Linked DNA regions of Oryzias latipes. The protein of the gene in region 1 purifies or fractionates together with the protein of each later gene. This does not show direct contact. Links are inferred from orthologs where the notes say so. Each region holds a gene or a part of one and is shown in the gene's direction. Other genes may lie near its edges.

The links.
Region 2: the proteins of snap23 (region 1) and vamp3 purify together in Homo sapiens (affinity purification with western blotting; 6 studies listed by BioGRID and IntAct, with this or other methods). This does not show direct contact. The link is inferred for Oryzias latipes from reciprocal best matches to the Homo sapiens genes SNAP23 and VAMP3.

Annotation. Positions count from the first base shown.
Region 1 is NC_019880.2:4,941,236-4,958,035, reverse strand, and holds the start of snap23 (synaptosomal-associated protein 23), read left to right. Parts: upstream 1-7,954; 5' UTR 7,955-8,083; coding exon 8,084-8,085; intron 8,086-10,899; coding exon 10,900-11,014; intron 11,015-13,806; coding exon 13,807-13,848; intron 13,849-14,098; coding exon 14,099-14,147; intron 14,148-14,504; coding exon 14,505-14,622; intron 14,623-15,098; coding exon 15,099-15,284; intron 15,285-15,358; coding exon 15,359-15,503; intron 15,504-16,800. UniProt on the Homo sapiens protein: Essential component of the high affinity receptor for the general membrane fusion machinery and an important regulator of transport vesicle docking and fusion.
Region 2 is NC_019863.2:28,595,255-28,611,692, forward strand, and holds the end of vamp3 (vesicle-associated membrane protein 3), read left to right. Parts: intron 1-6,714; coding exon 6,715-6,793; intron 6,794-7,785; coding exon 7,786-7,944; intron 7,945-8,133; coding exon 8,134-8,185; intron 8,186-8,489; coding exon 8,490-8,506; 3' UTR 8,507-10,701; downstream 10,702-16,438. Other genes in the region: period circadian protein homolog 3, read left to right, coding at 14,746-15,032, 16,323-16,438. UniProt on the Homo sapiens protein: SNARE involved in vesicular transport from the late endosomes to the trans-Golgi network.

The DNA of each region.
Region 1 (16,800 bases):
TCCACCACCCCTCAGGGAAGCCCTCTAACCCATCTTTCCACTTCCACCTGACCACTGACTACACCCACTGCCAGTCCCTTTCATAGCCCCAACCATGCACATCCTCCCCAGGCATGGCTACAAGGGCTAAGCTGCCCTTCATCTCCGATCTCTGAATTCTGGGTGGATCAGCACATCTCAGAGGAGGAAAGGTCTTCATATCAGGGGGGGCTTGTTTGATTTGACTGCAGACTCTGGTCGTCGTTGGCGTGAAACTGTAGCCATGATTAAACTTGTCATCCCCAGTTGCGCCCCTGTCACCAGTGCCGATGCATTCAGCAACAGACGTGGATGCACAAACATTTTAGGTCATTTTTGCACCAATCTCAAAGTTTTGCAACCTCCAAAAGCAAAAAAAATGAAATGTTCTTACTGTTATTGTTCAAGAGAAGAGCCGATTTCATTTTGAGATGACAAGCGTAATCATAGCTAATGATAGCACCGGGGGGGTGGGCTTGCACTCTGGTCAGAGATGTATATTTTCAGGTGGGGCTTGTTTTTTTTTGTTTTTTTTGTCTTTTTCATGTTTCTAAACAAAGCATTTATCACGGCCTGGCAGCACAGGCTCCTCCAGCACCGTCTGATGTCGACTGGTTCGGGTGACTTTTGGACCAAGACTTTCTCTTGTATGAATGTACCACTGGTCACCCACCTTTATGTCTTTGTGTATTATTGTGACTATGGTCACTCACAGTACCTTCTCTCGGACTGGCAGGACTGAACAGGTCTGGGACTTGGAGGTGGGGTCTGGGGAGTCAAAGTGAGAATGGAAACGTGGGAAAAAGGAGGTGACACTCAAGTTGCATGACCACTGTGAAACCTTAAGATCAATGTTGTTTCTAATGATGATATATTTTTTCATGGGGAAAAAAAAAATTGGGAAGCGCCCTGCTCCCGCTCTCGTTCTCCCTGGGACTTTTTAGGACATCAAAAAGGAAAACTCCGCCTCTCTCCTCACACAGTTTCCCCTGTCTGACTTTCAGCCGTTGATGGATTAGCTCGAGCCGGGAAGATAAATGGACCCGCAGGGTGAAACTGACTGGAAATCGGCCCTTGGAGCCCAAGTCAGAGCACGATGGGCGTAAACAATGACTGAAGCTAGTTCCGGGTCTGCGGGTTAAACCATTAAGGGAAGCGTTAAGACTGTGGCAAATGAAGCAAGGTGTTTGCTTGTGTGTGGCAGTGCACCGAAACGCACACATGCATGCAGGCAGACATACACACGTACACAAACAAGGGTGTGGGTGGAAGCACTCATGAACTATAAGGGGGAAACGGCACAAAGAGAGGGGGAGTTAGAGCATTTGCATCAAGGGTCTGGGACTCGACGAGTAAGCACTGTGAACACACACATCCAGATACCAACACCTACTGACATTGTAGAGAAACAAGTGCAGCTCTAGACATTTACAAAGACATAGCATGGACATACACACATGTACAAAGACACACAAGAAAACACAAACAAGGGAAAAAGCTTTTTTCCCCGTATTTCATCTTATTTTTGTAGCATTTAAAATCACTGTTAATTACTCCTTTGTGGGATGCAGTGATGGGTTATAGCCTGTGGAGGATTAAAAATAATGTTTTCTCTTCTTCTATCCACTGATGCTGTCCTTCTATTGTTCTTCTTCTTCTCTGGCTTGTGATCCATGGTTGGTAGTGGTAGGAGGCCTTCAGGTCTGAGCGTCATGTATGATTTTGTCTTTTTTTTTTTTTTCTGTTCATGGTGTTTTTGTGGAAGCTGATTTTAGCCATTAAAGTCAGTCAACAAGTAAACACAGAAGTCAGAGCAAAGAAGAGAAACACACAAATAAAGATTGTCTTTTTGTCTACTCAAAAAAAGAAAAATGAGCCGATTCAGTGGACTTTCTTCAGAGTTATGACTTACCTCTCATTATGTGTTTTTTTTTTATCCTCAAAGGGGAGATGATTGGGTTTATACGTGCACTCCAGCAGCCTCTTTATTTGCACAGTCAATCGTCTTCTGACGTCAAACTCTTGGAACGGCGATCGCTGAGCTTTGCCAGTTCAGGCATGAAATTATTCAGATGAAATCACCCTCTTCAATCTTCATCTGTTTCCCCCTCGGAGATGCGACGGCTGATCTGAACCTCTGACAACCTGGTGTCCGGATGGCTTGATAACCTTTCCTTTCTCGTTTCTGTTGCATTCCCTGCAGCTGATGGGAGAAAAACTCGAACGCTGTACCTGACTTTAGTTCCCCAGAACTTTTCAGGAATATGTTAACGATAGTTTATTCATGGAAGTTTTTTTGACAGTGTAATGCCTAACAACTTCTTTTTTGAAATACACTATTAACTCATTCTCAGGGGTGTTCATGGGAAGAAGAAAAGCCGTACTTGCTCTCACATGAAAAGAATGAGCGGAAAAGCTGGAAATTTGAATGAAAAATGTTGACAAAACATGGCGAAGAGGCGCCTGAGGGATGGCGGATTCCCTTTTAATTGCAACACCTGATTGTTCTTTTCTTTTCCTTTGGTTTTGTGCTACACCAGCTGCCAAGAGCGACTCATCTGATCACAAAAACCACTTAATATGTGCACAAAATCTTTTTTCAGTCTAAATAAGCTATCGTTTTTGCAACAAAAACATGTAAGACTTGCAAAAAGTAAAAGCAAGAAGAAAAATAACACCTGAGTGAGGAAATCTTCCTAATGCAACAAAAACATGTTTTTGTTTTGATTTTACATATTAAACTTTTATTTATTTGGCAAATATGAATGGACCTAATAGGTAATGGTAGGATAGAGGTTTGACAGCCAGTGTGTTGCAGTATGAGGAGTTAAACAACTGGGTGTTTCAACAACACACTGAAAAAACAGGCCCCTCAGAAATAAGTTAATAATTGTTTAGACACTAAAAGACATGTTTTCTTATTATATGATCATTTCACTGTTAAAAACTTTCTTGATAAGCTTGTTCTTCTTCCAAGACATAAAATAAGACGTTTTTTTCTTGAATCAGAGATGTCCTAACATTTTTAAGATTCATTTTTTGCAGCACACATAATGATTAAGGATTATCAATGTGATAAAATCTGCAATAATGCATGCATTTTGGCAAAAATCAAAGCTAATTTCATTCATCTACAGTGGTGCATTTTACCAAGAGGCAACATTCTCAAACAGCACTTTTAAGACGTGAAACAAAAACAGGAGCAAAACAGCTAACCTTGCCTCAGTGACCTAGTGGTAGAATGTCTACCCAATACCTAGGAGCTTGTGGATGAAACGCACAGCAAAGACTTTAAAAAAAAAAAAAAAGTAAAAGAATTGATCCTTGCTTGACACTGAAGTGTTGGATTGGGGGTTAAACCACAAAATGGTTCCCATCTGCAGCTCACCGCTCCCCAAGAACCGACAGGAGATGAGGCAGCTGAAAATAACAAGTAAGAATTTTTTTGTTTTTTTTATGGGCTCATTTGCTGACCAGCGGATTCCTGAAAGCTGGAGCATCAAAACTAAATGCTGCTTTTGGTGTTTATTGAAAATAAAAGAGTGTCAAAGATAAGAACCGTCTCTGCAGCATCCGTATAAAATGTTGGTCTCTCTGGTGCATTAGTGTCCATCGCATTGCTTTAAATTGAACAAGAATGTGACTCTATTTTAAGATAAACAGGAATTCTGACACTAATAATGATCTAGTGCCCTCAAAAATAGTTTACAAGGCTTTTACGTTTTTTTTAAGGTAATCCAGTTTTAACTATAAACAATTTTGCATCACCTTTGTTTTTGTGTTCTAAAAAGCTTTTATAAATTGTAGCTTCTTTCACTTTAAGTCCCATCTGCAACAACCATATACATATAATAACTGGGCCGGTGTCTCTCCCAGGACACCGCAAGGTGAAACTGAAGCCTAAAGTTGTGTTGCCATGTTGCAAGAGTTTTGTTTGTTTCTTTTTGTATCACTGGCATAACCCCCACACTCCTTAATCCCTATTACCAAAGCTCCTGAAACAGTTGACATGTTGAAGTTCACATGGATTTTTAATAACAGCACATTTTACAGTTTTACACGTTCTCGTTTTGATTGGTCAACCTTCCAGGGTCTCACCTATTGGCTAACTCGTATCCGTCCCATTGGTCACCGGACCACTCATGGATGAGGGAAAATTGTAATTTTACTGTATTGACTTTAGATTAAATGTTCTGCAATTCCTATCTCGAATCGCTATAAAGCTATTTGCATTAATCTTCCATAAAAAAAAAACCACACAAACATTATTAGATGTTTCTTTTCAAAGTCCAACATTTCCTGGCATTGGAGGTTCTGTAAATAATCTGAAAGAAATGTGTAAAGTTGTATTTAGAGACATGTCATATTTCCTTTTGATTATGACGGTTTGGACCATTTCTCAAAACATACAACATTACTACAACATATTTTGCTTAAAATGTCCTTTCTTTATTACAGATTAACAGATTTAAGCTATTATGAAATGCCCCATTATTTCAAACAGTGCCTTAAATTTAAGGTTTAAGAAATTTCTGACCCTCAGAGATTTAGGTAAAACTGTTTTAGTCCCTTCATGTTAACCAGCCAAATGCATTAGTTTCCTTATTAAATGTTTGGCATGTGCTGTGCAAAAACACTGTTTGAGTTTGAGGCAAAACTGGTAATATGCAGATTTAGCATTCAAACTGTTAATCCTTAACGTTCTCTCTACTCCCCTCCTTTTCCTGTGGGTCAGAAATCACCCACCCTACCAAAACCTCAAAATAAAGCAGCTTGATTGAATTTTAAATTACAATATGCGCTAGATGAAAGAACCTGTGAATTTAATTTAACTTAATTTCTTTTTTGAAATATTTCTTGTTACACATTACAAAGAAAGAAAGGGTGTGTAAGTATGTGTGTGTGTTTGTGAATTAGAGAGAGTTTGTGTGTGGCCTTTGAACTTTTCCTGGTGTTCAGATACTTTTATAATTCAACAATCTTTGCACCTCAGTGGTGTACAGCTCACAGGAAAACATAAACAAAAACAAAGCATCACTTTTTCTAGCATGATGGAGCATCTTCAGAGAACGTTATAAACATCTTAAGTTGGAAAAGGATGGGTTTTCTTTCTACAACTAAACATGCTAGTGGGTCATTTTTACCCGCGACACAACACAAGGGCAAACGCTTTGATTTTGAATACTGCCCTAGTGGGTTTTCACCACCGACATAAAACAGACACATTTCCCCTGTGAGGTCTTTAATGGCCAACGCTTGCTTGAAACATTCGTCAGCTTGGTTTCAAAAGTGTTATTTGAAACCCCTGACTTGTCAGTTTTGGGGCCATGATGCAAAAATGAATATCTGAAACTTTGTTCTGGGGGAAAACTGAAGTATATGAATAATAGATGAGCCTTGGCTTGCCATGTTTAGCCCTACTGTGCAAAGCAGGCTAATGGCTATCGATGTCTCTAGTTTGAAACAAATTGCTTCATATAAGAGCTCAATACAAAATGTGAACGAGTGGATTCCAGTGGAAGGGAGGCAAGGGAATGAGATTGTCTCTGGATATTGAGATGCACGCTTGGTCAACCGCTTCGCTGTCCTGACGAGTATCAGGTACCGGCAGAATTAGCCCAATGTAAAATTAAACCCAATCAAGCAGGACATCAAACATTCCCATGTCTCAGCCCCCTATGAGAGGAAAAACGAAGCAGAGCCAGAAATTAGTTTGGAGAGATGATGAAAAATTGGTATGTCCATGCATCCACATGACAATATCTCAGCACCTTCTTTTCCACATCCTATTATCACTTCATAATCTCAGTAGCTGCTGGAGGAAAACAATTTGGAGAAACAATTTTTGCCAATACGTTGTTGGTTTTGGCTGCAACCAGAAAGCAAAAGCCAGGAATCCAGATGGCAACCCCTTCTCCCCTTCTTTGATTCTGTCTTTCTCTCCCATCATGCTTTTTTTTTTTTTCCTTTCCAGCTTTCTCAGACACGTCATTAGGCGAGGGCTAATCTATTCTCCTCTTTCGCTGTACCTTTGTCTCCTCATATTCAACTAACAGGCATGATTTAGGAATTATGGAATTAGGCCAGCGCTCCCATCTCCGTTAATGAGGAACGGCATGATGAAAGAGCTTGATCCTGAACGTATCATTTTGGTAAGACTTGAAAACCCTCTCGCTCCCTCTTTCTCTGGCCACTTTTCATCACTACTCTGTTCCCGTCCCTTCCTGTCTCGCATGTGCTGCGAAAAGCACGGCACCTTGGCTGTAATTACAGTGGAAATACTAATTTCTAGCTCTTCAGGCACTGTTGGATGTGGCGTGAAATGGTGAAACGGCATGGCAGGAAAGTTAACTATGAGTCATTCACCCATGCACAGACACACTCTTGCAGAATCACACTCACAGGAGTCCAGATGGGCCTTGTGTTATTGCTGAATAATGCATGCAATGTAGACTCTATAAAAGTTACATGGCCAGAGAGAGCGCAAGTCATCAGTCAGACGCTTTAGGCCGTTTGGTAAGGTTAGCCTTGCAGCATGGCTTGTGCAAATTTGGAGTTGCACATGGAATTTCCAGTTTGCAAGTATCTGACTTCAGGTGACCCCTCAAGGGAAAATATTTAGCTGAGGTTGGGATAGAAAAACAATTTTCCTTTAGACTCTGTCAGCCGATATTGTGGCTGTCTTTCCAGTCACCTTGAAAATGCTTTTGTGGTGTAAACCATTAAACTTGAGAATTAGACGGAAGATTCAAAGCCAGAGGTTCAGGTTTCAGGCCATCTCTAAAATGCACTATGAAATATATCTGGCTGTCTGCGTCTATGCAAAGCAGAATGGGAGGGGGAGGTACGGGTGGAGGGTAAATGCTGCACTCATGTGGGGAAACAGAGCAGTGCCATGTTTTTCCTCTGGAGTCTGTAACAGGACATCAGGAGCTTGTGTGTGAAGCTTTTTAAACTGTTAAGAATGCTGTCCAAACACTAAAAACTGCATAAAACATGAAGCAGATTAATAAAATGGTCCTAGATTAACATAAATGTTATTTTAAAAGTTCATTTTTTTAGGTGAGAGAGAGATCTCATTGGGCCTGTTTTCATCTCACAAATCTTTCATTTACTTATATGAAATAAAAAAATGAGTCAAATTTACATAAAAGTTATCAAAACAAAAAGCACCACACATTGACCACAAATGAACTCAAATATAACACAAAAGAGAAGCGAGATTAATAATTTAAAAAAAAAAAACAACAGCTGACATTTACAACAACCGCTATAGGGAACAAAATATCAAAAAGAGTAGTAAAATGTGGTAAAGTTTGCTTTTTACTATCACCATGAACTGAATCAGCAAAGTTTGGGCTGATCACGTGACCTAAGTTTCAGTGTAGTGATGACATCTTGGTGTGTAGGAAAATGGAACTCCAAACAATTTCTTATCCTCGTATTTCAAACCAACCCGGAAAATGGTATAAAGTTGATATAAAAGTCATATCTAAGTAAAATGTGTGTACTTGAATGTATATTCAAGGCAGCATATTGTGACAGTTACAATGAAAGACGGGACGGTGCCAAAGAAAACCTTTAAAAATGGTAAAAAAATGCTAATCATCGTTTAAAAATGTTAGATAATATTTATAATACGCTATATTTTAAAAAATGTGTTGTGTTAATATCTATGAAATAACTTTTCGCGGCATAACACGTACATTGTTGATAACTAAAAGCACGTGTATTTGAGAAAAGCGTTAATTCCGACGAGACCCAAAGGCGTCATAGGTTACGTTATTCACTTCACTGTGGGGCCTGTGAAGGAATCCAGGAGTGACCAGCGAAAAGTCCACATACCAGAAGGAAGGAGGAGTTGGTAACTCTTTTATCTCTTCCGAAGGGAGTCTGAAAGTAAGTACTGAGTATCAACAAACGTCTCACTTTAGTTCACATCAACTTAGTTGGGGTGGAAAGTTGACAGGGAAGCGGAACTAGCCTATTAGCAGGCTAGCAACACGTTAGCTAGGAGAAAAAGTTTGCTTTCCTGGATTAAGGAAAAACTACAAACCTTCCAACCATGTAAGACGAATTAATAGACCTTTTTAGACTGTCTGTTTCACTCTTATGTTTTCTTGTGTGTGAAAATGTGGAGTTTTGTGTTGTTTGAATGACTTCCCCTTGCTTCAAACTAAGGTTTGGGAGTGTTTGGTTAATATTACCCATTTAACCAAACATCATCTGTTTGTCAGGTGATCTGCTTTACCTGCTGGTTCAGCTTCTTGAGAGATAACCGTGGTCAGGTGCAAAACTACTAGCTTTTGCTTGTTAAATATGTAATACGGAAATGATTAACCATTTTGGGGTGTTTTACTTCCAGATTTGTACCATTAACTGGGTCAAAAATCGTAATAATGCCACTTCTTTCATCTGCAAATGGGTAAAATAAAGATTCATGCTTTAGAGTCTCAGTTTCGACGCTGAACCATGATGTCATTGGTTTTAAATTCAGTTTAACTCCCAATTGTGAACACAAGTCCTTGCAATTGTGGTAAAATTGAGTTATTCGTAGAAATGAGGTTTTAAATTGAAAAAAGAGGCAACATTTAGGCATTGAAATGAAGGGAAAATGGTTAAAGTGTGAACCAAGCATGACTTAAAGCAAGAGAAGACGTCACTTTGAGGCTCATGAAGATCTGGAGTAACAGGTTTGGGTTGAAAAACAAGAAACGTTTTTCTCCTGTTTTCTTCTTGGTCATTTCATTTGCTGCTGTTGCTGTGAAGAAAGTGACATGAGTGGGTTTGTCAGTGTTGCATTATTCCCCATGTGGCCTTTTCTGCAGAAATCTATGCCTGGGTTACTTCATGAACAGGAAATGAAATCAGTTTGTGGGAACATGGATTAGATCTAATGGGTTTTTTTGTGTGTGATAATATTTATGCCTCGTCATAATTACCTTAATTTGTGACCCTTTTGTGTTCCCTGAAAGCTGAATATTTATGAATATATATTTATTTGGGGAAGAATTCTAAACATCCCAACAGTTTGACCTTTGAATCTTTACCAGCAAATCATTTTTTTTTTAGCTAAAATTCTGCAGCAGGTATTAAACCCATAACTGTTATGTGTAAATTGTTGTAGCCAAATTCAGAAATCTGTTTGAAGTTTACACTAAACATGTGCCCTCTTGAATTATACCCTCTCGGGTTGGGTAAAAACAGCATAAGTCAACATTTAGGAGCAGAACGTATTGCCAAGTACACTTTCATCTTGATTTTTATTTTCTGTGGATGGCTGCAGATTTTGATGGGAAGCGAAGCGAGTTTAAAGGTTATTTGCAAAACAGGAAAACGTCAACTTTAAGGGGAAGATGGGAGGACAGGACAGAACAGGACAGGAAGACAGATTATAGGAAATCCTCCGGCCTGGTTGCTTTTTTTTTGTACCTCTCCAATGTAAAACCCATAAGGTGGGAATTATTTTTCCCTGTAATTTATTGAAATAAACCTTTTAATTTTAGTTTACAATAAACTTCTTCTCCTACTAACCATGTGTCTCTAAGGAGGCTTTTTTGAACACATTTTCTATAAACCATTGTTTAAAACCCCAAGAAAATGACACCCATGACCGCACTCGCGTGTGGAAATCATTCTAGGCTGTTCAACAGTGTTTACAACTGTGAGCTGCATCACCGTTTTCTAAAACCATCTTCTGCATTTCCTTGAGTTTAACATGTGTGTTCATATTCTAAAGCAAAGATGAAGAACAGGCAGCCTGCAGTGAGCGGGCATGATCGGCCCTTCCTGCTTCCTGTTACTTTCTCAGCGCTCGCTCTGTTTCAAAAGTTGAGATGTCTGAACACTGAACGCTTGGCCTGCATTCACAGGAACACATTTTAGTTTGTAATGACTGTAAAATGTATTATTTTTAGCCACACCAAGGTTTCAAAATGCCATTAAAAGACCCTTTATAATGTCAGACTTTTACATTTTTGGAAATGGTTTATTGTATCTTATCATGACAGTTCAACGTCTGTTGTTTCTCATATTCATGTCAGTTTTCTGGATCCTTCATTGTTGCATTCATTAACATTGTTGCTAAGATCTCCACATTTTATCAGGGGGAATTGTGGTTTTGTTTCTAACACTCCTTAGAAGACAAACAAAAGCCATTTGTTTAGGTTTTGCATCCCGTTTTTCCATCCGTATGGGTTCAGATGACTTCTGAACAAACGAGATGACGTGTATTATCTCAAACTCTTTGTTTTTGAGTCATTTTCTCAACATTTAGTTGTGTTTTGGTGCATAGATGATAACTCTTCTATTTGTCTGAATCTTTTCAGTTTGTGTTGTTGCACAAAATCTAAAAAGGAACTGTCAACTCCTTATTTAAAAGAAAACAATAAGAATAGTAGATTTTAATATAATTACTATCCTTTAAAATACAATAGAGTATTACACTACAGCTTTTCAGATCCTGTTACCTTTTTTCTGTGATTATTTATGTGAGGAAACAAACCTAGCAGTTTAGAATCTGTTACTGTAGCGTTTATAAGCCGTTTTATATTTGTTAAATGAGGATTTGTTTTATACAGTTTGGTTTTATATTTAACTATCATCCTGTTTACATTGCCTGGATTTGGGAGCTACACGTTTTTCAACAGAAATGTTTATACTATTTTCTCTGGAGCTTTGAATTTTAAGTCATGTCATTCAAATAAATTTTCCATTAAAACGTCATTAAATTCAAATGTTTGTCCAATCCATTCACCTTGTTTTTTTTTCATCATCACCCATAGTCCCCTGCTCAGCAGTTGAGAGTTGGTCCTCTTTGTCTGCTTTATGGTAATCGATGGGATACTAATTAGTACCTGATGACCTCTGGCCTTCTTTCAGGCCTCAGCATATTGAGCTCGGTGCCACGGGAGGAGCCCCCAAACAAGACAGCAGCAACATGGAGGACATGAGTGTGGAACAGATGGCTCTGAGGGCCAACCAGCTGACGGATGAGGTGCTGACTCCTCACACTCCTGCTCCTGCTCCGTCCCTCTGTTTCTTCTGTTTCTCTCTGGCTACAGATTTCTGTATTTAATGAGCAGCCTGTGACAGCTGAGTCTGATTTTTCATTCAATCTTAATGTTTAGATGATGCATGAATGCAAAAAGCGGTTGGAAATCATTCCGTTTGGATTAGAAACGCCGTAAAATATCATTTTTATTGTTAAAAGCGACATTTTTTTCAATGTTTTTAGAAGTTTCTAATGTAACTGAGGGTAAACGGTTTAAACAAAGCGTTGCTCTCTGTCACCTTACACGATCTCTGTGGTCAGCCGTTGCATCCAACGGCCAAAGCTGCATAAAGAACAGGAGTTCAGGTCTCAAACTCCTGCAGTCCGTCTAAACGAGCTGCATCAAAGGCTTTTCTGGTGGGGGCGCCGAGACGTGACCTTCATCTCTGAAGCAAAACTCAGAGATTTTCTCCAAAAATGAATGTTTCAGCAGCTTAGAAGTGTGGAAGATAGACGAACCCCAAACTCTGACGCTCATTATTAACACATGATTATCTCATTAGTTCAGTCTGTTCAGCCTAATGGATGTCGTATTTAATAATGAACTCATTTATCTTCGATAAGGATAACTGGGAAAGACTTTTCCTATATGTTCAGGTTGGACAATAGTTTCTGTAATCCTGTTATCGGTGAGGGAGAATCGACATCTAAAATGTTTTAGCCTTTTAGAAAGAGCCTAAAAGAACCCGTGTTGAGACATCGCTTCCACTCAGCGTCTGATAAATGGATGGAGGTTACAGGACGCGTCGGAGGGATTCTTCCTGCTTCAGTCTGACGGCTCCCTCTGCGATCCGTCATCTTCCAGTAATTACTGAATCGGCACTCGAGGGCATCCCGCCGTCAGTCAGCTGTTGCTCTGCACCTTCATGCAGCTCACACTGGTTGATGTTTGTCTGCTTCCTGACTTAACCTGCACCTTTGCTTCTATCTCTTCCCTCTTTCTGCTGCCGCCTGGTTTATTCAGGAGATCATTCAGGGGACCTGGGAGGGCCCCTCTGCTAATTCCACTTACCGCTCGTGCTTTGGGTAAACACTCGGAGACGCTCTGACCATGGCTGACAGTTTATCAGGACAATCTCAGATAAATGGCAGCTGGAGCTCAAATGTAAAAAACCAAGTGGCCAACATTTTCTGTCTAGTTCTAAAGTTAAAACATGTGATTCATCCTGTTGAGCTGCAGCCATCATTTTCTTCTTTTCTTCTCTGACAGTCAACTAACATCTTTTTTTTTAACAAACTGTCGTTTTAAGCTGTGATTTGTCTGAGTTCAAGTAAAGGAGGTCACAGACTCTCGGTCGGAGTCGCAGCTTCGCTCTGCTTCCTAACAATAAGAGGCGCAGAAGGGCGGGGCCCACCTGACCTGACCGCATTCCTGCATGTGCGCTGCGGTCGTCAGGCTTTAGGCTGACAGTCAGAGATCCATGAACGTCTGCTCTGGAAAGACATTTCCATAAAACTCTGGTCTAATTCAAAACAATCAACCATTTGCTTAGTATTTTTCATCATTTATTCAGTTTGTTACTCATTTCTTCTTATGTCAAACGTGTCAAATAGGAGAAAAGCCTGAAGTAACAGGTCTTATTTATGCAAAAGTTGAACCATTTTTTACTTTAAATCTGTAAACATTTCTGAACAGGTTTTATTACAGGAAGTTGACTTTTATTCTCCGTTTTAAAGTAAAAAGAAAAGTAGGACTGAACTTTTATTTGTACTCTTAGATGCAGTTGCTGTTTTTTTCTTTATAAATAACTGAAGTTGACGAGGCCCAGTCTCATTTTTATTCATTTGTAAATGAAACGGATGAATTTCCTGAGACTCTCAGAGAAAATATTAAATTCTATTTTACAGTTCATGATTCAGTTCAATACCGTTTTTACTGTCAATTATTTGAAACCAATTTGATTTTGATTATAAAAGAAAACAAATTTCACAGAACTATTTATATAAATGAAATAAAAGAACAATTTTCATTAATGAAGTTGAGTTTTTACATTAAAAACTAAGTGATCGTTTATTTTTTGTACACACAATAAAAACAAAAGAACTTGTTTGAAATGAGGACATATTTTTGGATCTGATTACTTGACGTTGATTCTCTTTGTTGATATCATTTATTGTTTTCCCCCCTCTAGCTCTGATGTTGTTAAATAATTTTAAAACAGATATTTTTTGTTTACTTCAGGTTTTTTGTTCTTTAAAAATACTTTTAATATGTTGTATATTTTAGGAAACATATTTTTATAGATGAATAAATAAATGCTTATAATTTAATAAAACAAGTTCTGAATGTTCATAAACTGTCAAAATGCAAAAATCAACCTTTTCTTTTTTTAAACAGCATTTTGAATTGGGCTTTGTTCAAATTAAATGATACTTTGTACTAAATACTTTGTAAATACTTACTTACTTTGTAAATACTTTGTTTTGTTGTTCATTTCCTTTATTTTAACTCAATCTATTTAATCACCTCTTTACCTTCAAATAAAAATCAAATATCTCAGTAAATAAAGCAAAGAGTTAAAAGAATAACTACGTTTGAGTGTCTGTTTACATCCAGTCAGAAGCGTTTCAGCTTGGAAGGATTAGATGCGTTTTTGTTTTTGACAAAGACGACTGAGAGCTGCGGCTGGACTCCAGCTGCAGTTTATGTTTGATTCTTTTATGTAGCACAGAATCCCGTTTAGCTGGTGATCCTTTTTCTCTCTTTCAAACTGCTGCCATGTTTTCTCCTGCAGTCGCTGGAAAGCACCCGGAGGATGAGGCAGCTGGCGGAGGAGGTGAGGCTGCTGCTGCTGCTGCTTCTCTATGAGCAGAAGTCACTCATGGTGGACAAGTTGGCGTCTTTTGTTTCTCCTTTCATCAAATAAATATAGAGTTCAGTTTTATCCTCTCAACCTTTATGACACTTAAAGCGATGAACGTAATTGGAAAAATGTTATGCCTATTCATATTTGTTATTTCAAATTTCAAATCAAATGTCTTTACTCTAAATCATCTCTGAAGGATTGTTCATTTTTTATTTTATAGAGCCAAGAGACTGGGGGCAAAACTCTGGATATGCTTGATATGCAAGGAGGTAACGCAGCATAAACATTTGTTTATCATGTTGGAGAATAGAGACGGTCCTGAACAGAATCTTCCTCTTCTTCACTTCAAAGTTTTTGCTCTTTGATCCTGGAAGCAGATCTCAGGATTTCAGGGTCTGCTTCCTGACCATTTTGTTTAAAAAAATATATATATATTCACTAGAATTCAGAAACATACTTTACAACAAAAGTAGAAACGCTCATTGGTTCCTTTAGCTTTAGACGTGTTTCTGAACTGAATTTCTTTTAGCTTTTAGCTCTGATGACACAAAAACTGGATCCATTTTTGCTCTGCAAGCTGTTTCCAACAGCAGAGATGAAGATGTTGAAGTGTGTTTGTGATTCAGAGCAGCTCAAAAGAGTAGAGGAGGGCATGGAGCAGATCAACGAGGACATGAAGCAGGCCGAGAAAAACCTCAACGACCTGAACAAGTGCTGCGGCCTCTGCACCTGCCCCTGCGACAGGTACGCCGCTGCTGCTGCCGGCGCCGCCGCCGCCACTCAGAGTGCAGGAAGAGTCCTGTTGGATTGTTGGACTGCATTCATGCCAAATGTTGGAATCAGGAAGAATGCTGCACGCGTGCTCACATTGACATGTTTTGCAAAAGCGGAACATTTCATTTATTCATTAAAGCAGAATCTGTTTTATTCTTCTGATCCATTTCTGTTTTTATTCCGAGTTCTTAGTGAAAGTGTGACTTTGAAGCTTTTGTGTGACTTGTTGTTTCTAAACACAAATCTTCCTCAAATGCTTTCACTTTGGAGAAGGAGATACTTTGATTATCAAGGCATAAGGTAGGAGGCGTTCTGTGATTCCTGCCTCTTTATTTAGCATCTTGTAGAAATGGCTCATCCTGAAAGCAGTGTGTGTTTTAGTGAACCTGTTTGTGTGGCGTTCCCTGACGTTTTGGCGCATAAATGCGGTTTATATTTGTTTACAGAGTCACATCTCTTGAAAACGACCAGCGTTACAAAAAAACCTGGGGCACTGGAGGGCTGGAGGGGGAAAATGATGGCGACGGCTCAAAGGTGGTGTCCAGGCAGCCGTCACGCACTCGCAACGGACAGCCCGCCCAGACCGCCGCCAGGGGGACCGCCGCCGCGCCGTCGGGCCCGTACATCCAGAGGTGGGGCCTCGAACGGGTCCCCGAGTTCAGAGACCGCCGACCGTCGTTTCAACAAACGTGGCTTTGTGCTGCAGGGTGACCAATGATGCGCGAGAGGATGAGATGGAGGAAAACCTGGAGGCGGTGGGCGGGATCATCTCCAACCTCAAAGGCATGGCGATGACGATGGGACATGAAATAGACAAGCAGAACGTACAGATCGACAGGATCACCGATAAGGTGAGAGCCAGAGATCCACCAACCATCTGGTTTTATTCTCAGCTGAAAATGGTCTCATAACATTTTCAATAAATACATTTTAAAAATCCTAAAGAGAAAATCTGAAGCCTCACATGAACCTTAAGGAAGACAGACAAACAAGTGTCCTTAAAGCAAGTCAAACTAGAGAAAACAAGATGTTTTACTTTTTTAAAATAAGTGGAAAAAAACAACTAGAATCATTTATTTTGGGGGATTAGTTGAAAAAAGTATCTTTTAAGACAAAATAACATTTCAAAATTGGCTACTATCATTTTCATTATTAAATTATCAAAATTCTCACCGGAAGCAGATGTTGCTGAAAAAAGTTGTTTATAATTAAAATGTATAACATACATTCTTATACTTTTCCCCCAAATATATCCTATTTCAAGCTCTCGAACTTTCCTTTTTTTTTAAAAAAAAAATCCTCTAGATATTAGACTAGAATTACACATTTGAAGAGAAATTTCTCTTTAAAGTTGTATAATCATTAGTCCCCAAATCAATTAAAAAGCCCAGAAAAGTGATATGACGTAAATAAAAATAAGATGCTTAAAGATCAAATGAGCCGACAAGATATTCAGGATAAAAATCTTTTGTTGCAGTGCAGCTCAGTTCTGAAACTGTATTCCATTTATATTTACGACATTCAAAGTCTCAGACGTTCAGGGGAAAGATGAGAGATGGAGTGGAGACTTGATCAAATAAAAGGCTTTCTGGGGGAAAAATGTGGATTTTTAAATCCAGAGTTTGTTGTGAGTGGAGAGGATTTTCAATGTTTCGGCTTTTCTTTTATTTGTGAAAAAGCAGCTCGTTTTTATTTATTTATTTATTTTATTTTTTTAAGGACACCCAGTCCAGTGTCGCACAGTTTCATCATTCGGGTATTACTTTGAAACAGGTCAATGGCCTTGCTCAAGGCCACGGCTTTTGAGCAAACACACTGACTCAACCTGTTTTCATTTACTGATCTTCAGTTAATTATGTTAGCTTAGCAAAATTAAATCAAATGAGCAAAACATCCGGTTTCTTTACATAGAGCAGTGTTTTTCAACCAGTGTGCTGAGGTGGTCAGGTGTGCCCTCATAACTGATCTAAAAACATTTTCCATCTCCTGTATATCAGCTCTCTGTTCATCCAAACAGGCCCTGATAAAACACTGCGTAGTTAGGAGTATGAAAGATCATAAATTACTTTTCTTTTTGTGTTTATTTGATTCTAATTAAAGACATTTTGATAAGAATGACGGGACTGCAATTTAGCCCCAGCTAAAGCT
Region 2 (16,438 bases), on another chromosome or scaffold:
CATTTATGATGGCATGGTTTGATTGAAGAAGGTAAACAGGCATTATTTGTGGGAGCGTCTTGAACCAGTTCTTAAGATGTTTTTGAAACAAATTTTGTGACGACAGTTTGATTGAGTTCTATTCCTCTTGTGTCTTTTCCTTTATTTTTGTGTTTACATTTTATTTGTTTGACGACTGTATCTTTTAGATAAACCAGTATATTTTGTCATGAAATAATCCCATATCATTATCAAATCTTGTCTGGTTTTAAGAGCTCTCCCGTGTTTGTGGAGCTTTTTTGTTACTTAAAAGAATAATACCCTTTACACTGATTATTGTTTGTATCTGAACAACCAAGTATTAAAAAGAATATCCTCCCAAAAGATCTCTTTGCTTGTGGAGGTGTTTGCTTTACACTAAACGTTCTTTAAAATGCTGTATTTCTACAAATCACTTAACCAATGTAAATATTTTAAGTACAATTAAACTGTAAAAACCTAATCTTTCACTAAATTATTTCCTGAAGAGATAGTTCTTGCAGCAATGCTCAATTCATGACTGATGTGCTGGTTTCTTAAACACTCATGACCTCAGATTAAAATTCTCCAAACATTGAAACTCTATTTCTCCTATCTGATAATTTCAGAGGAACCCTTAAAGCAACAGTTTCAAGTTATTTCTCTTCTGTTTAAAAAAAAAAGTGGTTCAACAGTGGGCCACATCAAGAAATAATTTTTAAAAGCTGTTATCAGTAAAACAACCAAAATGTTTGACAAAAAAGTCTTGTTCCTGGAAAAGGATGAGTTCAGACGTTTTTGTAGTTTCAAGAAAAACTTTAGTTTTTTCTTTAAATTGCACAGATTTGCTTTTTTTTTAGATTCATTAGTGGATTTTTAGAAAAAAGCTTCAGACAGACATTGATTTTCATTTTATATCCTTTTATGTAGAAGTAGTTTGTGCTGTAACTTGAGATTTTTACGAATGATTTTTACTAATGATTTGTTTACACTTAAGTGTGAGGAAACTAGCTTTTTCTTCCAAGTGCTGAACCACACACTCGTAGCATTCATTCATTTGCTAACATTATATTTTTGTTGTTAAATTACACAATATTACTCAATAATAATAATGTTGTTGTTTTTTTTACAGTTTTTAATTCTATTTATCTTTAAATTACATTTATTTTAGTTAAAAAGTGTCTCACTTTTTCCCCCTTTTCTTAAAATTCAAATATCACAGGAGGACTCTTGACACATTCCTATTGTTGCTGCAGAGGCAACAAACTGTCAGTGGGCACTGATATGCTCACATGGGCTGCAAAGAAAAAGTCATGACTTAGCTGAGGCAGGATTTCTGGTGGGAAACTGGAACTACTGATTCAAACGGTTAACAAAGGTTACAGGAGAGCAAAACCGAAGTGGTGGCATGAGTTGAAACACCCTGCACTGCTGCTGTGACAATAGACGCATGCCGTCTCCAAGGTCTGCTGTTGACTTGAGTACACTCTCTGCATAAAACCTAGAATGGCTACAAAAAAATGTTGAAAACATACCAGGGCTCCAGACTGCGACCATTTGCTCGCATTTTGCGACCAAAATTTGAGACTGTGCGACTGAATTTTACATCCAGTCGCACATGCGCGACCAGTAAATTTGCCTCCCCCACCCTCCGTATTTTTTTATTCATTAAACGTGGAAGCGGCCCGTCAATGATCAATGAAATGAGCAATGAAATCATCAATGAGACACGAGCCAACACGCACGCAGACAGACACACACACACTCGTGAGACTGGAGCACACGCGAGCGCACACTCGCATGTCATTGAGTGATGCCTGAGGCGGCCAATGCGTGTGAGAAGAATAGGGAAAGTCACTGCAAGTGGCTAAAATATGTGGAGGGGCGGGGCCTAGAGATAATCGAGTGCGCGTTAACGTCTGTGGGAAGGAAACGGAGACAAATCATCACAACCTGATATGTGCGTCTGAGCTATGAACAGCTAGCGAACTATTGATTCGTTCTTTCGACCTGCGGCTAGTATACCAGTGCCAGAGTGTACAGCAGGGGTCTCAAACTCGCGAAGCAAACCACGGCTCTCATGCACGGCTGTAACGACAGCACACCGCTCCCGCGGGAGATGGCGAAGCTGCAACAGGAAGTTGGAGTTGTCCTTAACATTCAATTTAATAATTATGCCTCTCCCCCTAAGTACGATCTGTGATATTACATCTTTTATAATTATTTCAATGTTTTGTGATGTATGTAGCCTTTTTTTAATCAGTTGGTATTTTAAATTATTTTAATTGATCAGTGAACTACAAAAACCCATCAGGACGCATGTCCCATAATGCATTGTTTTGTAGTCTGTAGGGCAGCTTTCAGTCAGTTCAGTACTAAATTTCCAGCTGTGTTTGGTCAGGTTGGGGTCTTGCTTCCGCCCCTTTCTGGTGATATTTTGGTTTTGATTGACAGGTGATGTTAGAGCAAAAACAAAAATATGTCTCACACCAGGTGATCTGTGCAGCGTTACGTCCATCTGGGTGATCTCAAATTATTGTGCATCTTGGCTGCACCTATTTGGTTTCGCCAACATGAATTTCCATCCCCTAATGTTTACATACATTTAAGTATTGTTCTTAACTGTGAAATGACCGAAAGGTTATTACGGTAATCACTTGTTACTAAAAACTTTTTTTATTCTAAATTTATGGTATATTGTTTACTATTTTTTTTTGTCATGACAGCGATGCTGCTGTCAGTTTACCTTCTTGTTGCATCTTCAAAAGTGCAGAATAAAATCTGACACTGAATTTGAAAAAGCAGATTGTAATTTTTGCATCTATAATTAAAGTATTTATTTACTTTATTTATTTTATTTAGTGTATTTATAATACAGTGGAAATTAGAAGATCTGGTTTGCATGTTGATTTACGGTATGCGCCCCTAAATTTTCAGGTTGTGCCCCTAAAATTTTCATTCAGGGGCCACAGTGCTCCTAGTGAAAAAAGTTAGTCTGGAGCCCTGCATACTGTGGATCTATTCTGACACTGCTGTTGGGCTTCTATGATTTGACTTTTATCACATCGTATAACAAAAAGATTGCAAAATGACGACGATTGGTTTGAAGTCTTTAGTTTTCCTTAATATTGTTGCCTGATTTATATTAGTTGTTTCATTTAGGTGGCACAGTCATGACAAGCAACGTAATGGGATTTAATAAGATGTTTTAATAGATTTATTTCTCGAGCATATAACATCATATTAAGCAAAAGAAACCATATGTTTTGTTTAAAGTTGTGTTTTTTACTTCATTGTAAAGTTAATTTTTTTTTCTTCACAAGCAAATGACCAGAAAATGAATATTCAGTAGATTAGGTAGCATCTGCAGAAAAGGGAATTTTAGATTTACAGCAATCTAATTTTCGAACCATGAATTGATGTTCAGCCATAAGGTGGAGAAGCAGAAAAGAGGCTTTAGGTGTGTTCATGCTTTGTTTACATTGGTGTTCTTGGTAAATGCGTGTAGCCATCTTTGCTAGTCGTCCACACTTACTGACTGTCAAGCCTGAGAGTTTACCTCAAATGATTGACAGACAGTTGGTTGCTCAACCTGCTGAGCTTTCTATTGAATTCCTTTGGAAAAAGTCACTTATGACAACTATATCTCTAAACAAACTTGGAGACAGAAAATTAACTTGCAATTATTCAAAATTATCTCTGCAGCTGTTATCCTTTTTTCCAAGCAAGGTCCAAAATTATAAGTATTTTTGGAAATTATCTGTTCATTTTTATATATTTTAAATCAAATCAAATCAAACTTTATTTATAAAATAGCGCTTCTCATGCACTTTGTGCAGCTCGAAGCGCTTTAACACTAAAAACAGTAAACACACAACATTACAATAAAAACCCCAACCCACCCTTCACCCTTCCCACTCCCCTCCATTAAACCACATGACCCATGGCTCCCACGTACAATGAAATATGACTATGTAACTGTAAAAGAATAAATAAATAAATAAATAAACAAGTATGGCTTAGCTCTGCTGTGAGGAAACAGTATCTGGGAATCCTTTCATACCAGGAGCCAGCCCGGCCACCGGAACATCGCTACAGTGCCCACCCAGACCGGGACAACACCGGGGTCCCCCTCACAGCCAAAAGCTGTAAAATTAGACCCCAGCCGCCCCAGCAAGGGCAACAACTGCAGCAACAACCACTGACCAAGCCGGCAATCCCTGGAGGAAAAGATCCCCTCAAGAAACACTGGCGCTAAAATCATAAGATGCTAAAATTAAAAACATAAAAAAGAAAAAAGAAAAAAACATAAAATTGAAAATAAGATGCATAAAATTAAAATAAATACATAAATAAAATAGCCTATACTAAAACTAATAGAATAAATTAGCAGTTAAAATCAACTAAAAGCTAAATTAAAAAGGTGGGTCTTGAGCCTCTTCTTAAAAACCTCTACTGTCTCTGCGGCCCTGAGGCTCTCCGGAAGGCCGTTCCACAGGCGAGGACCGTGATGGCAGAACGAAGCCTCACCATAAGTTTTGGTCCTCACCTTGGGAACAACTAAGAGGCCAGTACCGGAAGACCTCAAGGTCCGCGAGGGCTCATATTTTAAAAGAATATCATTTAAATAAGAAGGCCCAAGACCATAAAAACATTTATAAACCATTAAAAGAATTTTAAAATCAATCCTGAAACGCACAGGGAGCCAATGCAGCGATTTTAAAACCGGTGTAATGTGTTCCCGCCCTCTGGTTCTCGTCAGAACTCGTGCCGCTGAGTTCTGTAGAAGTTGTAAGTTTGAAAGAGACTTTTTGGGTAAACCAGAGAGCAGGGCATTACAGTAATCTAAACGATTGAAAATAAAAGCATGCATTAGTACCTCTGTGCTGGCAAGAGAGAGGAACGGGCGGACTCTGGCAATGTTTTTGAGATGATAAAATCCTGTCTTAACGACATTTTTAATGTGTGGGATAAAATTTAGCTCAGAGTCAAAAAGTACGCCCAGGTTTCTCACACATTGAGAAGGTTTAAAATTATGAAGATGTGGTAAAATCATCTCTCTCTTGTCTTCAGAACCGATGATTAAAACTTCAGTTTTGTCCTGGTTGAGCTTTAAGAAATTTTCTGCCATCCACAACTTTATATCTAAAATGCAGTTTAAAAGAGTGTTGACAGGTTCCAGGTCATCAGGAGACACGGCGATGTAAAGCTGTGTATCATCAGCATAGCTGTGAAAGTCAACGCCGTGTCTCCTGATGACCTCCCCAAGAGGCAACATATACAAATTAAAAAGTATTGGCCCTAAAATTGACCCTTGGGGAACCCCACAGCTTATTTCGTGGATTCCTGAAGAGCACATATCCATACTTACATAAAAGTGTCGATCTGTCAGGTAAGAGTAAAACCACTTAAGAACATTTCCAGAAAGGCCCACTAGACTACTAAGTCTGTCTAATAAAATCTGGTGATCTACTGTATCAAAAGCGGCACTAAGATCCAGTAGCACCAGAACAGAAAGTTTCTGTGAATCGTAGTTTAATCTAAGATCATTAACGATCTTTAAAAGAGCCGTCTCTGTACTGTGGCTTTTCCTAAAACCAGACTGATATTTTTCTAAAATTTTTTGGGCATTTAAAAACTCATGCAGTTGAGTAGCGACACTTTTTTCTATTATTTTACTTAAAAATGGTAAGTTGGATACGGGTCTATAGTTATCCAGATTTTTTGGATCTAATTGACTCTTCTTCAGAAGGGGCCTCACCACCGCCGTCTTACAGGCAGAGGGGAAGACCCCCGTCTGAAGAGAGCAATTTACTATATTTAAAAGCTCTGACTCAAAGAATCCATAAAATGTTTTAAAAAGTGAAGTGGGAATGGGATCTAAAAGGCAGGTTGTAGTGTTTACTTGGGATACAACTCGACCAAGCATCTCTGCATCAACCAGGACAAAACTCCCCAGTGTTTCTTCTGGTAAAGACAATGCTGGAGGTCTGTTAAGATCAGTGTTTTGCATGGATGAAATGTTTGATCTTATGGCATTGATTTTACCCATGAAGTGGTCTGCGAAGTCCTCACATGCAGCATTAGATGATGGCATGGAGGACTTGTTGAAGTCTTTGTTTATTAAAATATCAATGGTTTTAAAAAGAAATCTGGGGTTGTTTTTATTATTTTATTATTATTTTAGGTTGATGTACCTGAACAACCTGTTTCGTGGAAACACTGTAAAAGGACCTTCTGTTTTCCACATGACACACTGTCATGCCCACATCGATTTGTGTGAATGTGTGGCAGTATTATTGCAGGACATCTGGGGAAAATTCCCCTTTAGTTACATAAAGCGATATGAAATTGAACTTGAGTGTGAACTTGCCTTTCATTGTTCTCCACCCTTTTGTTTATGTATTGACAAATTTATTGCAGATTGTAGCTCACATACGTTTAGTATAAAAAGTCTCGAATGTAGTTTCTAAAACTGAAAAAGTGTCTATAATTATAGAAGTAATGAAGGAAATGTGTTTTAATAAAGTCTTAAAGATAATGGACTTGCTTTTTAGGGAACTAAGAGATCTTCTCAAAGCCCTCAAAGTAGAAAAAGGCCTTTGACATTCAAGATGTGGATTGAATATTTTCTAAATTGATGATGTGAAACCAATTTCTGTCTAAAAGAAAAAAATCTTAAAATAAAAAATATCATATAAATGTTTGTTGAATCAGGTCAACCCTTGGTCCAGAAGGCTCCGGGGCAGCCTCGAGCAACAAGCGTCTGCAGCAGACGCAGGCTCAGGTGGATGAGGTAGGACGAGTTTTTGTCTTTTCCATGGAGATGGGCAATACATCAACCTCGTGTGTGTATGTTTGTGTGCCTAGAAAAAAAATTTGCACACAGTTTTCATCCATCCAATTTATAAACCTGCCTAATCCTGTTTGGAGTCAGTGGGTTGTAAGAGCCTATCCAGTAACTGTTGAACAAAGGCGGGGTACATCCTTGACAGTTCTCTAATTCAACAGGGCTACACAACCATACACAAGCTGGGATTTGAACCTCCTCCCCATGAGTGCTAACCACTAAACTGTATGAAGCCCTCATGCTATTTCCAATAAGTATAATACCTCTACCTACTATGATAGATGTTTTCTGCATACTTCTTCCCATGGATCTCAGTTTATATGCCAGGAGGGTTTTAATTAAAACTTTGCAGTTGTTTCAGATATGTAAACGACCTGGCACTCTTTAGTGCTTCGCATGGGCCCTTTAAGATTTACCAAGCCTTCAAAAACCTTAACTTGAGTTTGCAGCGTAGTGTCAACTAGCTGCCAGATATTTATGTAATCACCACCTTCATGGTTATGTAAGGCCTGCATGCATGCGTCTCCTGTTCTCTGCTGCAGTGGGCTGGGGCAGTTGGCTTTGTAAATCAATGAAACATATAGGTCATATTCATATAGAACACAGTAAGGACATGAATGTTTGTCAGATTATTTTTTATTATTAATATAAGGTCAGTTTTTTTTTTAAATTAGAAATTGATTACTAGTGTTTTGTCTCCATCTTATTCTAACCTAACTTGTAAACACGTTGTGACTCTGCCATCGTAATACGAATGTTTTGCTTTTCCTGTTGTATCATCAGGTTAGAAAGTTAGAATCAAACAAACAAAAATCTTTTTTTCGTTCAAAATCTTTTGTAGTTGACAATTCAAATACATTTTTTCTTGCATAACATCCAAAGTAAAAGCACATCAAACTGTTCTTTTTTGCTTTTTATTTGTTGTCTGTTCTTCATAGGTGGTGGATATCATGCGTGTTAATGTGGACAAAGTGCTGGAACGTGATCAGAAACTGTCGGAACTGGATGACCGAGCAGATGCACTGCAAGCTGGAGCTTCCCAGTTTGAGACCAGTGCTGCTAAGCTAAAGAGGAAATACTGGTGGAAGAACTGCAAGGTAACTCTCAGTTTTGCCCCAAACTGTACTTCACAGATTCAACAAACCACCAGTTGTTGATTTTTTTTTTTTTTTTTTTTTTTTTTATCGAAGCAGCAATAATAATACAGATTAACCGAATTTGTTTGACAAATGATCTGTTTGCCTAAATGTGTTTAATTTTTGTGGCGCTCGATTCTCTGCCTGCAGATGTGGGCCATCCTGATAGCTGTCATAGTCATCATCATCGTCATCATCATTAGTGAGTATCAAGACATCGGGAAAAAAAAAGTCAGAATTGTTAGTATTTTTATGTCAGCTGATTTAAAGAATCTGTCAAATCAGCATATTTTTAGGTTGTACTCGATCCTTTTTTACAACTTAACAACTATGTTTGAATACAAAAAATAATTTGTACTGACTTTTTGTGACAATCTTTCTTTTACAAGCCATAATATTCAATGTTTTAAATATTTATAATTCTTTGTTGCTCTAAATGGCTATAATTTTAGAAGGACATGCCCAGTAAATGCATTGTCTTAACTTTTCTATCCTTTTCTTTGTAGTTTGGTCTAGCACGTAAAACAGCCAGCGGATGAGACGTGGAGGCCATGATGAAGAGCAGAGAAATGGGGCAGTGTGTGAACATCATGCCACATAAATCACAAAGAATATCTCACATTGGTGGCTGCTGACCTCCACACGAATTATCTGCAGGGGTCTTCATTCCTTGTCCTGCTTTGTTTTGAATTTATGTACGTGTATTAAGGTTGTGCCAGAGTTGAGGTTTGCCAAAGTTCCACACCTTTAAAAGAATGCACCATGGATGACATCAGAACATTTTAAAATAAAAAAAAAACTATACCACATTCCAAAACAAACTGCCAGAAAAGTTACAAAAAATTTGTTAAGAAGTAAAACTCTTCTAAAGTCTATAAGAAATAAAAACCCTTACTCTATGGCAAGCATGCACACACATAGATTTGAACTTCAAGACTGGTATGAAGGTTATTGTTGTAAATTTAACTCGGTATATATTTACATTTTCACATTTTATTAATAGCATTGTATAACATTTGGAAGGCTAAAAAAGTAACATGCCTACAAAGATGTTCTGGTAGGGTTTAGAGCTAATTTTCTTACCAGTTTAAAGACGTTTAACGGCAGGGCTTCCCTTTTATTTTCTAGATATCGCCATCTTTGGCAATGGTTACAGTTCAGAAGTGAATAGCTAAATCTAATGCGTCGCTTCATTTTTCCACACAGTTCATTTCTTTGTAAGAAAATTCTTTTAAAAAAGAAATTTAACCTTAAATCTTCTTCAATAGGATGCTAACTAACCTTGTGGTCACTCCTGTCTTTCTTCAGCTTATTTTGGACACCACTCCCTTTGCTGTGCAGCTGGTTTGAACTTGTTTTTTAACGAGTGCCTGCATGCCGAGACCAAACAGCCCGACTCGGGCAGCCTCAAAATAACAACAGTCCACATAACGTATTATCCATTTTCTAGATTGTATCCAACACTTTTTTGTGTGTGAAATATCGAGGCATAACAGTATTAGAATGTAGCTTTTAAAATAATATTCTTTTTCTCAATGAAGAAGAACTGCCAAAAATACAGCCATATTCCAACTGCTGCCATTTAAAAAACAACAGTGCCTTTCTAAATGTGCTTAAGCCTTGCATTCATTAACTCAAGTGAACCTGGTTTTTGGAAAAAATATTTGTAATATTACATTTTGTTATTAAATTGCTTTCATTTTTCAATAACTCAATGAATATGACACCTATTTTATTTCTTGGTGGGGACTTTGATGTTGCTACTAATATGTATTTTCTTTATATATAAATATTATCTTTACCAAGGACATTATAAATTAAATAAAAAATGAAACCTGCATAAAAAGTTCATAACGAATGTACTAAATTCAAAGTTACTGAGGTGTAGCAAAAGTAAATTAAAAGTAAAAATATAAAGGCAAACCCAGACTTAAACCATGAACCTGGACTTGCACGATGCAGCTCAGTTCAGGGCGACTCGGTGCTGTAATGCTTTTTTAGAGGACGGTCTGTAAGACAAATAGACCAACTGGGCAGGTGGGCTTACAAATATTGGAAACGCCTCATTGGCACTGCACTTATGAGAAGCCTTCGGTTCAGCGTTCATACAGACTTAATGGGCAACTATACATTTTTCAAAGATTTGTAACACTGTCTCGTGTTGATGGTGCGTTGAGAACAACAAGAACATCCATATTTTAAAATACTAAAAAAAAAAAGGTTTTCAAGGTCTGATTTAACTCAGACCAGTCTGAAAGTCTTCCCAACAGAGATAATTACTGATACCGTGCCTTTTTGACATTCTACCCCTGTTCAGGTATTCATTCTTACACCAACACTGGATTTGTGGTTTTGTTCATTTTGAAATGTTAATGTTTTGATGCATATTTTTAGAGCATCTAGTTTTTTCATCTTCAGTTTGATTTGCTCTTTCTTTTTCCTTGTTTCTATCAAATATAGATAAACTGCTGCCTTAAATAAAACCTTTAGACCAATGAAATGCTTATTTCATTTCATTTCTTATATGCCTTTTTTTAACCACTTACATGCTTTCCTATTTTTAATCTGCTGTTTCCCTCTTACAATTAATTTACATTTAACTCATGAGCTTCGCCAATGTATACTCTACTGGGAATATGTTTGGAAAAAAAGTGCAATTTTCTTCTGTGGCCTAAATTATCCGTTTGAATAAAAACTAATAAAGTCATTTCTAAATTATTTTCATGTTATTTCTCTTTGGGAGATGGAAATTCTTAATCTTTTCTAATATATATATATTTTTCCCTCCTTTTTTGTTTGGAGTCTAACAATAAAGAAATGTCTCCTCACTTCCAGAAGATGGCTAAAGTTTGATTTTGGTCCCTGCAGAGAAGATAACTCTTACAAACTCATTTTTTTTTAGTTATGAAATGCAACACAACTTAATTTAAATCTTTTTCTGTGTGCAATGTCAGGAATCTTCCATTTTATTTTGTTTTTTATATTTAAATCTTTTAATCGATCGATCCTTTATTAGAGTCAAAGCAGCGGCTCCGTTCATAATTATGCATTTGCAGGGGCGTGGATGTAGACTCATAGGGGTTGGTGCCTGCGCAGTTGACATGTTTTCACCCTGTTGTGTAACATGGGGATCCACGTGAACCGCCAACAACTATGGGGATAAGCACGCCCACTACAACTGTCTCCATCCAATCAGGCGCCAGATGTAAGTTTGGCCTGCCCAATTAGCGTAGACTGGGCGGAGTTAACGCGATGCCAAACTCACGTTGCACGAATGTGTCAAGCGATTCGGAATGGATGACGTTTTCTCTGGGGAAACTTAAAAGCATTTAATGTTTTGATTCTATCCGGGACGTCGTTTTGTGGAATTGTTGTATTTTGAAGCTCAGATCGAATTGGACCGAAAAAGGTAAATATATTAACCCCAGAAACTATATTTTCAAGTGTCTCTTGCTAACTCCACGAGCTAGCTGACACCTAACCCCGTGTTGTTAGCGAGGTGGCATTGACTATAATAAACAAAACAAGTTCAAGCTTGCTGTTTTAAACTTTACCGCTAACCCAGTCTTGCTATTATAATGTACACAGTAAATCAATTCTGAACAAGTGTCGTTGGTTGGTGATGTTAATATATATTATTAGCTTAGTAACATTATGTCTGCCGAAACAAGTAAACGGCGGCTAAACCAGTCAAGCTAGCAGAAATAGCAGAACATAACCAAAGCTGGAAATGTTCCAGAGTTTGTGTCCCACTGTACTTTTGCATCATCTTGTATCAACCTAGGCTAACTAAATACAATTTGTAAATAATATTTTATTAATTTATGTACGGAGGGAAGGGAGGGGGCGTGTCTTTTTTTCCTCCTTGCAGATTAATGTTGCATTGACGTGCGATTCTTTTTGTAAACAAAATCAGGTTTTTGCCTCGATGATTATTAGTACGTGTTGTGTCGCACGCTCAGGGCCAAGTGTTTTGTGTTTAAAGGGGGTTAGTGGGTTCATAGTGGGAGGGATTTGTGCCCCGTCAAATGCGTGTCAGAGTTGTTTTCAGCCGTTACCGGTTGTAGGCTGCTGAGAGTGGATTTTTTTTCCTCCTCTTTTCGATTACATCATATAAACTGGGCATCGGTGTCTGTATGTTTTTTATGCTGACCTCCATTGAACATCTGGTGTCTAGTCTGCTTTTGCACATTGTTCTATGTAGGCTATTTTTTTAAATAGTTATAATTGAAGGGTTGCTATAAATAAATTAACTTACTTTAATTTAAACAACTAAAAGAAGATCTGATGTTATCAAGATCAAGCTGATTCTACTTAAAACAGGTGAAATATGTTTTTTTTTTAAGTTAGTCATTTGATAGCTTATTTGAAAGATTACTATTATGCCACTCTAATGAAGATTGTGGCATTTTTCCCATGACGAAGGACATAAATAAATAAAATTAAGCTTAAAGTTTTATTTCTGAGGATTTCTTTATTCAAATCGTTGTGATTTAGGAGCACCTGAAAATATGCGGTTGGAAAAAGCCTGTAGCTGTGATGTAGGTGCTAGGGGCTGTAAGCTAGTGGGAGAGAGTGTAAACAAAGGGATGATGGGAAATGAGGGAAGACATACTCCACTCCTGCTGCTCTGCTGAAAACTCCGTCTAAAAAAACGACACGTTTTTATTTCGTTTTGCCTACAAATGGCACAATCACATTTAAAAGACCACTGCGAACACTTCTACCATAGATCAAAAGTTGATGGTAATGGGACTTTAAAGTTTGAATACTGCAGGAGTAAATTCTGCAAATACTGTTCTGGCATTGTTACACATGTCTGATGGCTGTTTATTTCAGTTTGGGGAAAAAGCTATAAAGTCTTTTAATTCTGTTTATTGACTTCCTCTACTAAATTATGTAGTAGCTTGTAGCAGATGCTGTGTAAGTTTTTTTTTGCTGTTCTTTTTTTTATATTACATTCTATTTTCTTATTCTATTTCTTTTAAAGCTTGCAGCATACAGTTTTGCATTGACTTGTTATAAAAATGCATATATGTACCTCTAAAAGGAACATATGACGGCAGGAAGAGCTCAATCTCTTGAGAATGGTGAAGAAAAACTGCCTGTTTTTGTACTGCATAAATAAATATCAGAGGACCAAAAGTACTTTTTGTGGGTTTTTGTGTCAACACAAGCCAAATATTTTGTCTAAGTGCACATCGTCACACTCTGACTTAAGATTATGTAATGCTGGAGTGACAACATGATAAATACTTTGAGTTATGTTCATTGGTTTCACTATCTGTCCTGTCGATGTGACAGTTGTCAGAGCTTTGAATTTTTCCTGTTCACATTAGCATTATTGCTTGATGGTTTATTACGCTCCAGATGAAAACACTTAAACTGGTCTTGAGAAAAAACAGGACTTTGGGTGTATTTTGTTTTTGCCAGGTCTATTGTAATCACGTGATGAAACACACGAGGACAGCCATGGGTTTCCACTCCCACTTTGTAGTCGTGGGTGGATCTAGACACTCCCTAACTTAGTCATTTACTTTTAAAGAAATACCATTCGCACTGCAGCAGACGGTAGTATAAAAGAAATGCTAAGAAAGAGGTTGATAGGCGAGAAAAAAGTGTTAAATAGCAAAAATAAATATTCATGTTTGTTCAAATAAAATAAAAAATCAACAGAAATGTAATAAATCCCCTTGTGTTTGTTTGTCCAGCTCTTAAAGCAACTTGAGAAATGATATCTATATTACCGTACATCAAGCTTTAGCAGAGAAGTGTCTTGAAATTACTTCAGAAAGAAGTGACTGTTACAATGTGGTGCAAGACAATGTGATGACAGTAGTTTTTAAAATGTTAAGCAGCCAGTTTTTGTAGTACCAACTTTAATTTTAGGACCTTCTTTTTTAAAACTATTTATATTTAAAAAAAAAAAAAAACAACCTATGACAAATTTAAAGGGCCTATACCATACTATTTTTAAGCCTTTTTTAGTAAAACGCATCCATGTATATGATAATATATTACACAAATAAAACACATTTGGAATAGAATTAATCGTTACGCTCTTATTGAGAACCAAACCTTTTTTTTTTTTAACATGCATGAACAATACCTTTACTGCCACACGTATAATGATTTTTATTGCAATGTGTCCTTTTTATTCATGTTTTCAAAAAACACGAGTATTTTAATGCAGCTCAAACTTCCTTAAATTAATTTCAACCCTAAACCTAAAAAGGTATGCGTCCATCCATACCTGCTTCACCTTATGTAAAGTCACATGGTTGCTGGACCCGAGGTTTGGCTTCATTCTGAACAGGTTGCCAGTGCAGCATAGAGCCACATGCAGAGACAGACAACCACCGGACACACACTAGCTCCAACAGCACAATGTTTCAAAGCTATGGAACATGACTTTTGGGCTGCAGGTGGAAGCTGGAGAACCTGAAAAACCACAGTTTAGACTCAGCTGGGTTTAAAACCGTACTTACTAGCTTTGAGGAGACACCGCAAATCATCTTTCCACATGCAGCCAGCCGTTACATTTCTAAGAAAAAAATGAATGAATTGCTTTTTGATCTCAGTTATGTTATAAATTAATGAATTCTTCAAAACGATTTCAATTCAAATCCTTATCATTTCTTTCGTTTGACAGTGCATCCAGGATTTATCACCAACTGACTGAAGACACCACATGGAACTTATTCCACTCTCTGAACACATGAAGACCCCCGAGTGCAACTCTATCTGGACAAAATACCATTAATGTGCGATCAAAGTGCGGTGATGCCAGGGGGTGACAGTGGTCTGGATGGAGAGAAGTCTGCTTTTCTGTCAACCACATCAGAGGGTTTAGGGGAGGAGAATGAAGCATCAGTGGACCAGGATGGGCGGGCTCATCCTGAGCACCTCAGGGGAGAGGAGAGTGGAGCCTCGGGAGGAGAACTGGGGCAGGAAGACGAGGAGATGACGAGTGGTTCTCATGATCTATCCTCTTCTGCCAATCACAGCCCTGGAAGTGCTGCAGGATCCACTGTGGCTTCTTCAAAGAGGTACCGCTATGCTTTCATATTACTGTTAAGAATTAATGAGGTCAATATTTGAAAGACAGACATTTGTGTTGTACTGACCAGCACTAAGGTTCCCTTAAATTTGGGCTTCTGTGAATATCCTAGAATATTTTTAAAATTATTTTAAGATCTTAACATTTTTAATGCTTTCTTACATAGACGTGAAATGACCTTTTGATGATAACTACTAAGTATTCTCTTTAAATACACCCTGCCACATTAACAGCTGTAGTTCTGTGTTGTACAATTATTTTAAGGGTAATTACTTTATACTTCTTTGTTTATTATTTTTACATTTTGTCACATTTTAATGCCAAAGTACTACCTGATGAGGTGTTTTTTATGTAAAAGAGAAAAGCAGAAAAGCGTGTTTATCAAAGGTAAACATAGCAGGCAGATGTATTGCTTTAATAATGAAATAGATATTAGACATTACGAAACTTCTTTTTATTACTTTAGTGATAAATTGGCAAATCCCGTGCCTAAGCTCCACACACTGGTTACCCCCCCCCCCAAAAAAAAAAAAACTTTAACAAAAAAAAAGAGAAAATAAAAAAATTCCCCCAAGCTTCTGAGTTACCAACAAGTTTTGGTACAATGATGAATAGCAACTATGATGCATCAGTAAATAAAATATATTTGAGTGTAGGAAAAAAATCTATTCTATAAAATATCGCAAGATTTTATTTGGAAATACTGGTGTTGATTTCAAATGCTGCTAAAACCATTTTAAGCAAAAATTTAGCTCAGCAACTTACTTCTGTGTTTCACGTAAACCCCCAACTAATAGTTGATGGAGATGATGGAGATTGTTTACTGGTTTTTCTGTTATTTAATCCAGAAGTCCTGCTAAATTCCTAAAGTACATCTAGGCAGTGTTAGAAATAAATCGCACTTTATTTCCGTAACCATACCAAAAGAACTTTACCGGTAGAAGCACACTGAAGTTTTATTTTTTTTATATATTCTAAAACATATTTTGATGTGGAAACGTTTAGTGTTGAAAATATGTTTCATTGTTTATCTAAAAAAGAATTTTTCTTTGGTAAAAGTATATGAGATATACTTGCAGTGCATAATGTTCTGATAGTTAAATAAAATGTATTTGGTTGATGTGAAAGGTGTATTAGTATTAACACATATTTTTTTTAAGTCTTGGGATGTAATGCAGTCCATATCTTATTGCCAATGCACAGCCCATACAATTGCTAAAAATCTCCCTTGAATTTTTAAGTCTTGTTCCTTGTACTTCTATTTTTATTTTTTTCACAGTGAGCATGCAGATGGAGACAAAGGGCAAGCCCACCGAGAGGTGATGGTGACGGTGGCTGAGATGAAGAAGAGGCTTCCGGTGGACAAACGCAGCCGCATCAAAGTCAGCACTGTGG